Linked DNA regions of Saccharomyces cerevisiae S288C. Changing the gene in region 1 together with any one later gene gives a genetic interaction. Each region holds a gene or a part of one and is shown in the gene's direction. Other genes may lie near its edges.

Region 1 (5,044 bases):
AAAGTTTTCTTTCTAGCCAAACTCAGTTATGTCAACTGAACAAGATGCTGTTCTTGGATTGGCCAAAGATTTAGAAGGTATAAATTTGCTTACTGTGCCCAATCTCGAGAGAGGACACCAAAGTAAATTATGCAAAGAGAAAACTACTTCTGATTCATCTTCGTCAAGGAAGCCTTCACAACAGAGAGACAATTATAGAAAGAGACGTCCGAAACTTATATGTATCCCATATACGTCTTTTCTGCATACTGGTATGCACAATTTTTTGACGAAACCACCAAGAGATATATTTCATGAAAGTAAAGAAGTAGCTCTGTTTACCAATGGCCGGGCTTATACAATCCTACGCAAAGACCTTATACCAAATTTGAAAGAAAGTATTGCTGAATTGTATGAAAGCTCGCTTCTTGAGGCAAAAAAGCGGAAAGTCCCGTATTTAGGCCATGACTTATTTGCTAATATTGATGAGTTCGTTCCCATGACAATATCCGAATTAGATAGTGTATCACCGTGTTTTTCATACATTGAGAACTGGATACTAGATAATCCTGGTAAGGATTTTAAGATCGGCAAGAAATTTACTGTTGTAACCACAAGACATCATATCGTAGATTTGACTATGCATCTCTTTAACAGGCGAAATAGACAAACGTCACTAATTGTAACTTATATGGGGGCGGGCCTTCTTTCATTTTGCAGAAATGTAAAAAAAGATTCTCAAATGTCCAAAGAGGGCATTTATTCAAATGATCCAAATATGAAGAAAATTTGCTATTCAGGATTTGAATTTGAAAATTGGGTAACCGAAAATTCCAAAGTCGCTGATTTAACTGGCTCTAAATGTCCTATTTTTTCTCTTGTAGAGAGTAAACTTTCAGAAGAAATTGGTCTTTTAATTCGCTGCGAAATGGATGCATTCAATCCTGTTTCGGAGACAAACACAGAACTAAAGTGTTTTGCCCCATTATCAATGCACAATTCCAATCATAGGAGAAAACTTCTGAAAACGTGGGTACAGACGGGTTTATTACCGAACTCAGATATCATGATAGGTTTGAGGGACAGTCATAGCGGTCAATTACTAGACATTCAATGGTACTCAAGGGACTTATTATGTAAGAAATTCAATCACCCAGGTCTACCTACAAATAAAAAGGAACTTAACTATAATGCCCAAATTGCGGTAGAATGGTGTCATTATTGTATTGAAGCAATTTGTAAGCTGGTGGAGGCAAATATCTCTGACTATAGCAGTACAAAACCAGAATCATTTGAAATCGGTATAGATACTAACAACGCCATCGTCATCACTAAACTTAAGACTACTCCAAGAAACGTAGAATTATTTGGAATGTAGAGACGTGTATAATATATAATACTTTTCCGAGAAATATTTCATTTTCATTTTCGTAAAGTTGTTAACTACGCTAAATATTAGTACTTTTCTTAAATTTATATGGGGAGCCCTTTTTTTCTATGAAAAGCAATGCGTAAACCAAATAAGCAGAATTTTGTAATAGATGAGCAACAATACTGAGAAGGTGATAACTATAAATTTATGTGGGTAGTACGATACCAGAATACATTGGAAGATGGCTCTATTAGCTTTATATCATGTTGTCTTCAGGCCTTCAAAACTTATAGTATAGGTAGATCAAGTAAAAACCCACTGATAATTAAAAATGATAAAAGTATTTCCAGACAGCATATCACATTCAAATGGGAAATCAATAATAGTTCGGATCTGAAACACAGTAGCCTGTGTTTAGTTAACAAGGGTAAATTGACATCATTAAATAAAAAATTCATGAAAGTTGGCGAAACATTTACTATTAATGCCTCGGACGTTTTAAAGTCCACAATAATTGAACTGGGTACAACTCCTATTCGTATAGAGTTCGAATGGATAAATGAAGTCTGGAACATTCCTCCTCATTTGACACAATTCAGGACGATGCTTTCTGAATATGGTATCTCCACTGAGATTTCTATTAATGATATTCCCGCTAATCTGATGATTAGCGATTACCCAAAGAGCGAGGACAACAGCATACGGGAATTGTATGCCCTTGTTAGTACTATACCCATGAAAAAATCACGGTTTCTGATGGAATTGTGTAATACTCTTCTTCCCACATCTAAAACTAATTTAAAATTTGATGAAATGTGGAACGATATGATTAGTAATCCGGAGTACAATGTTTTTGATTTTGATCCAAATATTTTGCTTTCGAAGTTTATGAGGCTGAATAATATCAGAGTGTTAACTACTATCAAAAGTGAACCACGTCTATCATCTCTCCTGCGGACGTTCAATATAAATTTATTTGCATTTGACAACATTGATAGTTTATATAAATATGTTGACAGCTTGGAAGCATCAACAGAATACCTGATTTTGACAACTACAGATAAGAAAGAAAATGGGAAAATTCTATGTACTATCAAAACGATGTTAACATCAATAATAGATGGCACCTTAAGCGCAGTGATTAATATGAAGGGTGCATCTTCAAGAACTCTAGATAACGGTAAATTTGATCAAATTTCTGAAGGAATGTCTACTATTTTGAAAACATCTCGTGCACCTGAAGTTGAAGCTAGTCCAGTAGTCTCGAAGAAGCGAAAATTAAATAGACGTAGAGTACTACCACTCGATAGTCTTGATTTTTTTGCTGGAGGTTTGAGTACTAAGACTCTATCAGAAAATAGGTCTTTAACTGACGCTAAGAGACTTAATTGTGGCGCAGAATCAAAGACTGTCATTTCAAGTCCCAACATTGCAGAGGCAGATGAAAAGCACGCCCCATTTCTTCAAAACGCACTAAAGCCGACTGAAGATATTGGAAAGAAAAGTGGTCACAGTAGCCCTGGTGCTATAATTGTCAGTAGCCCCAACTTAGGTACTGTGAACACGAGTGAGGATTCGTTGGATAAGTCGCTACAGTCACATAAGTTACCACAGCCGTCATTGCCGGAGGTAGCAGGGATTGGCTCTCAAACCATATCTTCGAACTCCGCTGACTATGAAACAGCTGCTGTGAATTCGATGGATGATGCTGAAGTTACTAAGAATTTTAGGGTGAATCATCACCAGAATATAGAGCAACCCTCTAAAAACATCCGTAAACTTTCTAATTATTCACGAGAAATTTCATCTCCATTACAAGAAAATTGTAAGTCACCTGTAAAAGAGTTATCTATTAAAGAGAAATCTGGTACGCCGCACGCATTTGTTGAAGCTATTCAAGAAACTAAAAATAGAGAGGTCAAAAGAGTTAAGTCAACCATTGTTGAATTGAAGGATGAGGAGTTGAGCGAGGAAGCTATTAATCAGCTAAAAAATTTGGCTATTGTAGAACCTAGTAACAATTTACTGAGGAAATCATTTGATAGTGAGGGAAACAAAACAAGCAGAACAACTGAAAAATGGGAAAATAGCCTAATGGAGCCAGAATGGCATAAACGCAAGAATTTCAAGACTTTTGTCAAGGTACGTCCAAAATCAAAGGCGCACAAAGAAGAGGGTAAAAATAACACTCAAAGCTCAGATTTTATACGAAATGCAGCCTTTTTAATCACTAGAAATTATGTTCCGTTAAAAAAATACTCCAAAAAGGATACAACTACAAAATGGGGCACAGAAGAAAACGAAGATATGTTTGCTTTGACGGAGATGGAAAGATTTGGATCGAATACATTTATGTCCGATAATATAAACTCAAACACTATCCAGAAAAGATCTCAAGCTCTAAACAGATTCACGAATGAGGATAGTTCAAATGAAGGAGAAGAAGATTCGTTTTCTTTTTCTCGTTGTTCAGGTACTGCAGCCAGCGTTCAACCACTAAAAAACAAAATTTTTATTACTGATGAAGATGATCTGGGTGATATTGATGATAAAAGCGATAGACTAAATCACAGAGAAAATAATCGTAATCTTTTTGTGGTGAAGGAAATGAACTTACGGCCAAACTTGTCAGAAGAATGTTCCAAGCAAAGTAGACACAGTAGAAGCGCAACTAGTAGATCACGTGGCTCTTTTGGGGCTTCTAATAACGGTGATGGCGACGACGACGATGACGACGGTCCGAAGTTTACGTTCAAAAGAAGAAAAGGATAATGATAAATTTTCCGAGTATTTCCAATTTCATTAAATTATATTTTGCATTATCATTCGATATATGTGTATATATTATATGAAAATTAGTAAAATCAATGTTTGTTTCAGCTGTATCGGATCGGTTTAAAGAAGCACTACAGGTTGCTGGAGGCATTAACTGTAATGTAGCGCGCTCATTGGAAAATTGGGAAGGATCCCCACTTCATATCAACGACTCTCTTTGTACCATGCACTTTGGATAGGTTACTAATAGTCTTGAAATCATCCTCAGGCAGAGTGAAAATCTTAAAATTGGATACAATTCTTTCAGGATTAACCGATTTGGCCAGAACAACGTAGCCTCTTTGAATACTCCAACTGATAATAAGCTGTGCTGGCTCAACGCCGTGCTTTTTAGCCATATCAATAATTGCTTGCTCTTTTAGTAAAGGAGCATTAGCACTCCCAAATGGTGAGTAGGCTTCAACAACAATACCCTTTTCCTTACAAAAGGCAATCAATTCGTCTTGTGGTAGCAATGGATGAATTTCAATTTGATTAGTAGCTGGTACCACCTTGTTATTTGGAGATTCTAATAATTCTTTAATGTTGTTAATAGAAAAATTAGAGACACCAACGGCTTTAGTTTTGCCCGTCTTTGGCAACTCTTGCATCAACTCCCACGTCTTGATAAAATTCCATTCCTTAGTATCGATGTCAACAGTGCCATCTTCTAATGTTGGAATGCACAGAACGTTACCATCAGTAACTCTGTCGGTTTTCAAAGGCACTGGCCAATGCATCAGATATAGGTCAACATAATCCAAGCCTAGTCTTTTCAAAGACTTGTTTAGAGCAGCTTCCGGATCACGTTGTTCCGTACCCCAAAGCTTAGTAGTAATAAAAATTTCCTCACGAGGGACTCCGGAATCTTTAATAGCC
Region 2 (8,337 bases), on another chromosome or scaffold:
TCATTTTCGTATGATGGTAATTATCTTGCCACAGTGGCTCGAGATAAGAAACTACGAGTCTGGAATATCAGAGAAGAAAAAATTGTTAGCGAAGGGCCTGCCCATACGGGTGCAAAAAACCAAAGGGTGGTATGGTTAGGAAACTCTGACAGATTGGCTACTACTGGTTTTTCAAAATTGAGTGATCGTCAAATCGGTATTTGGGATGCCTTCAACATTGAAAAGGGAGATTTGGGAGGCTTCTACACTGTCGACCAATCATCAGGTATTTTGATGCCCTTTTATGACGAAGGGAATAAGATTCTTTACTTGGTGGGGAAAGGTGATGGTAATATTCGATACTACGAATTTCAAAACGACGAGCTGTTTGAGTTGTCTGAATTCCAATCCACAGAAGCACAGAGAGGCTTTGCTGTAGCGCCTAAGCGAATGGTGAACGTCAAAGAAAACGAAGTCTTAAAAGGTTTCAAGACTGTCGTTGATCAGCGTATCGAACCGGTATCTTTCTTTGTTCCAAGGAGATCAGAGGAGTTCCAAGAAGATATCTACCCGGATGCACCTTCCAATAAGCCAGCTTTAACTGCTGAAGAGTGGTTTTCTGGCAAGTCTGTTGAAGGTCCAATTCTCGTTAGTATGAGATCTATCTATGACGGTTCCGCACCAAGCTTTCATGAGGCTAAAAGACCTCAACAGCCAACAACTCAAGAAACAGCTCTTGAAGAGAAAAAGGAGCAGCCTAAAGTGGAGAAGCCAATCAGCGAATCCGAAAAGGAGGTGAAACAAGAAGCTCCAAAATCTCCCTCACCGCTAAAGTCGGCCTCCTCATCTTCTACAATCAACCATGTATTAAAGGAAGATAATTCGATCAACAAGTTGTTGAAGAAATCCTCCGATATTGATCAAGTTAACAACGCCGAAGATCCGTCTAGGGATACCTCCGGATGGGAAGAAGCCGATGATGAGCCAGCTCCTATCAAAATCGAAACCCCAGTCACTCCAACAGAAACTAAAAAGGATCGCACACCTAAGGTCGAACCTTCAAAAGAATTGAAGCCAGAGCCAGTGTCTATCGCAACAGATAGAAAACAGGAGCAAAGCTTACCTCAAGAAGAGAAGTCCTCTGAGAAAACAAAGTCCCCTGAGCAGGAAAAATCCGCAACACCTCCTTCTTCAATTACGGCTGCTAAGACAGCCATTACTGCCAGCAGTAAGGAAGAGCCATCCGCGGCAAGGACATCACCTAAGTCATTGGGTTTAAAAAAGTCTGTCGAAAAACTATCTACATTGGTTCTGCAATTAGAAGATGTAGTTGATAAATTAACGAAAGCAAATCTTGACAAAGATGAGCGCCTGTTAAAGTTGGAACAAAAAATTGGCGAACTGTCAAAATGAAAATTTTTTGTACTTTTAATGATAAAATTAAGTGAGTCCTTTTTATAGGAAAGATGTATTTTGATTATATGTAATGTACATAAGACGGCGGCGATAATAATGCACTTAGAAAGTGAATCATGTTCACCTGTCCACTAACAAAAAAGGAAACAAAATGTTGCTTTCCCACAGGAAAAAGAATGTTTTTGACAAAACACTAAGCGTTATGTGACCAATGTATAATTGTCCTCATCATATAGTTTTATGCAAGCATAAATAAGTCTTTCTTTTAGTTAAAACGCGTTACATAGTAAAGGTAACCCTGAATGAATTTTTATTTATATTTTTCTTCGCATATTTTAGGATCTTGAAAAATTAACCACAAGTTAGAAGTTGATGAGATCAGGAATTCTAACAAAAGGTCATTGGTTAGGTTTATTTTGTAGGTGCACGTTTGCAACTTTATTCCTTTTGTTTCAAAGTTATAGAGCTTTCATTTTCTCATTCTTCTCTAGTGTAGGTCATTTCTCCTGCATATTAACCTACTAGAAAAGTTTACGAAGCTTCATAGGAACGAATAATCGATCACTTTAAAGGCTTCCCGCACTTTAATCTTATCATCTACACCTACAAAAAAGCTCTACTTTGTCATTTATTTTCTACTTCATCTCTGTATGGCATCTATCTCTATATATATAAAAAAGCGCATCTGTTTATTATAAATGAATTCCAACAATCCTGATAATAATAATAGCAACAACATTAATAATAATAATAAGGATAAGGATATTGCCCCCAATAGCGATGTTCAGCTAGCTACCGTCTATACCAAGGCAAAGTCTTACATTCCTCAGATTGAACAAGTTTATCAAGGCACAAATCCAAATATTCAAGAGGCAAAATTATTAGGGGAGTTATTACAAGTTCTAGCAGAAGTTCCCAAGGGTACGCATTTATTTTGCGACCCCATACTTGAACCAATATCAATTTTTTCCCTAACCATTTTCTCATTCAATGAAGAAGCTACGGCCACATGGCTGAAGAATCATTTTAATCCAATTCTCTCTGTTTGTGATAAATGCATTCTAAATTTTGCGAGAGGGAAGTGCAAAATGTTACAACATTTTGCCATTCAAAGACATGTGCCGCATGAACATGTAGCCAAGTTTAATGACATCGTATGCCAATGGAGGGTGGAGGCTGTTTTTCCTATTCTTAGAAATATTTCCGTTAACGATAATACGGGAATTAACATTACAAATGAAATTGAAACTGCAATGTACGAGTGTCTCTGTAATCCGCATATGTTGAGGCTTAACAAGCAACTTAAGGCTACTTTCGAAGCAATCTTCAAATTTTTCTACGACACAAAGCATCGTTTGTTGGACGTTACGAATCCATTAAGCATAAAAACCTTTATATCAGGTGTCATATTTTGCTGGTGTGAAGGTTCAAAAGAGGAAAATGAGTGGTCACGAGCTTTTCTAAAGGATTTATACTCAAGAAATTTCCATATAAATCTTTCTAACCTGACACCGGATATTATTGAGGAAGTTTATATCCATATTTTATTCTTACAGAATCCGGCAAACTGGACAGAGATTGTGGTATCTCAATTCTGGTCGAGATTACTACCGGTTTTCAATTTATTTGATAAAGACGTCTTCATAGAGTACTTTCAGGTCCCAAAAAATGTGGAATCTTTAAAAAAAACATTCAAATTTCCGTTAGAGCCAATTTTTAAAATGTGGTACAATCACTTAAGCAAATCATATCATGATAAGCCACTAGACTTTTTGTTAAGAGGATTAACAATGTTCTTGAATAAATTTGGCTCCGAGTTTTGGTCCAAAATTGAACCCTTCACATTCCATAGCATTTTGGATATAATTTTCAATAGAGATTCATTCCCAATCAAACTAATCAAAATTCAAGACAATCCAATTGTTGAGCATCAAACAGAAGTTTACTTTCAACTTACCGGTTCTGTAACCGATTTACTTTCTTGGACCTTACCATTTTATCATGCACTGTCACCATCCAAAAGAATTCAAATGGTTAGAAAGGTCTCAATGGCGTTCCTGCGTATAATAGCCAATTATCCATCCCTAAAATCCATTCCCAAAGCTTGTTTAATGAATTCAGCAACTGCCTTGTTGAGGGCTGTGTTGACTATTAAGGAAAATGAAAGGGCAATGCTTTATAAGAATGATGAATTTGAAACAGTACTGTTGACTAAAACAGATTCTAGAGCTTTGCTCAACAATCCTTTGATCCAAGACATAATAATTAGATCAGCTTCGAATCCTAACGACTTTTATCCTGGGCTAGGTGCTGCTTCTGCATCGGTGGCCACATCCACGATGATGGTATTGGCAGAATGTATCGATTTTGATATACTGTTATTATGTCATCGAACGTTTAAGCTTTATTCAGGTAAACCAATTAGCGAAATTCCAATTTCAACCAACGTCTTGGAAAATGTTACAAATAAAATTGACCTGAGATCTTTTCATGACGGTCCATTGCTGGCCAAACAGCTGCTAGTATCTTTAAAAAATATTAATGGTCTTTTGATAGTACCGTCAAATACTGCCGTAGCTGAGGCACACAACGCATTGAATCAGAAGTTTTTGCTGCTATCAACGAGATTAATGGAAAAATTTGCGGATATTTTGCCCGGTCAACTGTCTAAAATCCTTGCGGATGAAGATGCATCGCAGGGTTTTTGGTCCTGCATATTCTCCTCTGATAAACACTTGTATCAAGCAGCTACTAATATTTTATACAATACATTTGACGTTGAGGGTAGACTGGAAGGTATCTTAGCGATTCTGAATAGTAATTTGACCGTTAACTTGAAGAATATAAACGTGATGCTACAAAGATTAATCAATTGTGAATTCTATGAGCCTTGCCCCCGTGCTGTTCGTGTTTTGATGGACGTAGTGAGTGCATTTGTAGACCCGATTTCTGGTGTGTTTGCTAATTTCCAAACTTTGAAGAGCCAAAATACCGAAAAGGAATTTTTAAAATTCTGGGAATCATGTTGGTTATTCTTGGATACGATTTATAAGTTTACTTTGAAATGGGCTTCTAAATATGACTATTCTGAACTGGAAAATTTCACCAAAGATACTTTAGATCTAAGTCGCTCTTTGGTGGACTCCTTTAGAGAATTTTCAGATATTCTTCATGACCAAACGAAAAATTTACTTCTCAACGTTTTAGAAACCTTTAAGAATATGTTGTATTGGCTGAGATTGAGCGACGAAGTACTTTTGGAATCTTGTGTTAGATTAATTATAAGCACGTCTGATTTAGCACATGAAAAGCATGTGAAAGTGGATGATTCCTTGGTAGAAATGATGGCCAAGTACGCCTCGAAGGCAAAGAGATTTTCAAATAAGTTGACGGAGCAACAGGCGAGTGAGATTCTACAAAAGGCTAAAATATTCAATAAAGCACTCACGGAAGAGGTCGCTACAGAAGCTGAAAACTACAGAAAAGAAAAGGAATTATCAAGACTTGGGAAGGTGATCGACTTAACGGATTCTGTGCCGGCGTCACCATCCCTCTCGCCCTCTCTGTCTTCAACCATTGCTAGTTCTTCTGCTGAATCCAGGGCAGACTATTTACAAAGAAAAGCTTTATCTTCTTCAATAACTGGGAGACCAAGAGTAGCTCAGCCTAAAATAACATCTTTTGGTACGTTCCAATCATCAGCTAATGCTAAACTGCATCGTACAAAACCTGTTAAGCCTTTATCCAAAATGGAATTAGCTAGGATGCAATTATTAAACAACAGAGTTGTTCATCCACCTAGTGCGCCAGCTTTCCATACAAAGAGTAGGGGTTTGTCTAACAAAAACGACGATAGCAGTAGTGAGGAGAGTGACAACGATATAGAAAGCGCTCGGGAGCTTTTTGCTATTGCTAAGGCAAAAGGCAAAGGAATACAAACTGTCGATATTAATGGTAAGGTTGTCAAGAGACAAACTGCGGCTGAATTGGCTAAACAGGAGTTAGAACATATGAGAAAGAGATTAAATGTTGATATGAACCCTCTATATGAAATCATATTGCAATGGGATTACACCAGAAATAGTGAATATCCTGATGATGAGCCTATTGGTAATTATTCTGACGTAAAGGATTTCTTCAACTCTCCTGCTGACTACCAAAAAGTCATGAAGCCTTTACTACTTCTAGAATCTTGGCAAGGTCTATGTTCTTCACGTGATAGAGAGGACTATAAACCTTTCAGTATTATTGTAGGAAATCGAACTGCTGTGTCAGATTTCTATGATGTGTATGCCTCTGTCGCTAAACAAGTCATACAGGATTGTGGTATTTCTGAATCTGACTTAATTGTAATGGCTTATTTACCCGATTTTCGACCAGACAAAAGGTTGTCCAGTGATGATTTCAAGAAAGCACAACATACATGTTTAGCAAAGGTGAGAACATTGAAAAATACCAAAGGTGGTAATGTTGATGTCACATTACGAATTCATAGAAATCATTCTTTCAGTAAATTTTTGACACTAAGATCAGAGATATATTGTGTGAAGGTTATGCAAATGACGACTATTGAAAGAGAGTATTCAACACTGGAAGGGCTGGAATACTATGACTTAGTTGGCCAAATTCTACAGGCTAAACCATCGCCTCCCGTAAATGTGGATGCGGCAGAAATTGAAACAGTTAAGAAAAGCTATAAGCTCAATACGTCGCAGGCTGAGGCCATCGTTAATTCGGTATCTAAAGAAGGTTTTTCTTTAATTCAGGGTCCACCTGGTACGGGTAAAACAAAGACTATACTGGGTATTATTGGTTACTTTTTGTCTACAAAGAATGCCTCATCTTCAAATGTCATCAAAGTGCCACTAGAAAAGAACTCATCGAATACTGAACAACTGTTAAAAAAGCAAAAAATTCTAATCTGTGCCCCCAGTAATGCCGCTGTGGACGAAATCTGCCTCAGACTGAAGAGTGGAGTGTATGACAAGCAGGGGCATCAATTTAAACCTCAATTGGTCCGTGTAGGTAGGTCAGACGTTGTAAACGTTGCAATTAAGGACCTTACTTTAGAAGAACTTGTGGATAAAAGGATAGGTGAAAGGAATTACGAAATCAGAACAGATCCGGAACTAGAACGTAAATTTAATAATGCTGTGACTAAAAGAAGAGAATTGAGAGGAAAATTAGACTCTGAGAGTGGTAATCCAGAAAGTCCAATGTCAACCGAAGATATCAGTAAATTACAACTTAAGATTAGGGAGCTAAGTAAAATAATCAATGAACTTGGCCGTGATAGGGACGAAATGCGTGAGAAGAATTCCGTAAATTATAGGAATAGGGATTTGGATAGAAGGAATGCACAGGCCCATATCTTGGCGGTTAGTGACATCATATGTTCGACTTTATCTGGTTCAGCCCATGATGTACTCGCAACAATGGGTATTAAATTTGATACGGTCATTATAGATGAAGCATGTCAATGTACCGAACTTTCTTCAATTATTCCTCTCAGGTATGGAGGGAAGCGTTGTATTATGGTTGGTGATCCTAACCAACTACCACCAACTGTTCTTTCAGGTGCAGCAAGCAATTTTAAATACAATCAGTCACTGTTCGTTAGAATGGAGAAAAATAGCTCCCCATACTTGCTGGATGTTCAATACCGTATGCATCCTTCCATCAGTAAATTCCCCTCTTCTGAATTTTATCAGGGACGACTAAAAGACGGCCCTGGTATGGATATCTTGAACAAAAGACCCTGGCACCAGCTTGAGCCATTAGCTCCCTACAAATTTTTTGACATCATTAGTGGTAGGCAAGAACAAAATGCGAAGACTATGTCTTATACAAATATGGAGGAAATACGTGTTGCCATTGAGTTAGTTGACTACCTTTTCAGAAAATTCGATAATAAAATTGATTTCACGGGAAAAATCGGTATAATTTCACCTTATAGAGAGCAAATGCAAAAAATGCGTAAAGAGTTTGCCCGCTATTTTGGAGGCATGATCAACAAATCAATCGATTTCAATACAATCGACGGTTTCCAAGGTCAAGAAAAAGAAATCATCTTGATATCGTGTGTCCGTGCCGATGATACGAAATCTAGTGTCGGTTTTTTAAAGGACTTTCGTCGTATGAATGTGGCTCTGACTAGAGCCAAGACAAGTATTTGGGTTTTGGGACATCAAAGGTCTCTGGCTAAAAGCAAGTTATGGAGAGATTTGATTGAAGATGCAAAAGATAGAAGTTGTCTTGCATATGCTTGCTCGGGTTTCCTGGATCCCAGAAATAATAGAGCTCAAAGTATTTTAAGAAAGTTCAATGTACCCGTACCATCAGAGCAAGAAGATGATTATAAGCTACCCATGGAATATATTACGCAAGGCCCCGATGAGGTAAAATCCAATAAGGACACAAAGAAGAGAAGAGTTGTCGATGAAGGTGAAGAGGCAGATAAAGCTGTAAAGAAAAAGAAGAAAGAGAAGAAGAAGGAAAAGAAAAAGTCCAAGGCAGATGATAAGAAAAAGAATAACAAGAAGGCAGAATCGCCCAGCACCTCATCTGGTACAAAGAAAAAGTCATCCATTTTTGGTGGAATGAGTGTACCGAGTGCCGTAGTTCCTAAAACTTTTCCTGATGTGGACAGCAACAAAAAGGCAGCAGCAGTTGTTGGTAAAAAGAAAAATAACAAACACGTTTGTTTTTCGGATGATGTTAGTTTCATACCAAGAAATGACGAACCTGAAATTAAAGTGACCAGAAGTTTATCCTCTGTATTGAAGGAAAAGCAGTTAGGTTTGAAGGAGACGAGAACAATTTCTCCGCCTGAAATCAGTAATAATGAGGATGATGATGACGAAGATGATTATACGCCGTCAATCTCCGATTCTTCATTAATGAAAAGTGAAGCAAATGGTCGTAACAACAGGGTGGCTTCTC

The links. A genetic interaction does not mean that the proteins touch.
Region 2: mutations in XRS2 (region 1) and SEN1 are lethal when combined (synthetic lethality), as found in Saccharomyces cerevisiae (2 studies listed by BioGRID, with this or other methods).

Annotation. Positions count from the first base shown.
Region 1 is NC_001136.10:1,214,095-1,219,138, reverse strand, and holds XRS2 (Xrs2p), read left to right. Parts: upstream 1-1,558; coding exon 1,559-4,123; downstream 4,124-5,044. Other genes in the region: DXO1 (Dxo1p), read left to right, coding at 29-1,357; trifunctional aldehyde reductase/carbonyl reductase (NADPH)/glucose 1-dehydrogenase (NADP(+)) YPR1, read right to left, coding at 4,297-5,044. UniProt on the Saccharomyces cerevisiae protein: Component of the MRN complex, which plays a central role in double-strand break (DSB) repair, DNA recombination, maintenance of telomere integrity and meiosis.
Region 2 is NC_001144.5:991,341-999,677, forward strand, and holds the start of SEN1 (DNA/RNA helicase SEN1), read left to right. Parts: upstream 1-2,093; coding exon 2,094-8,337. Other genes in the region: CRN1 (coronin), read left to right, coding at 1-1,392. UniProt on the Saccharomyces cerevisiae protein: ATP-dependent 5'->3' DNA/RNA helicase required for the expression and maturation of diverse classes of non-protein-coding RNAs like precursor tRNAs, rRNAs and small nuclear (snRNA) and nucleolar (snoRNA) RNAs.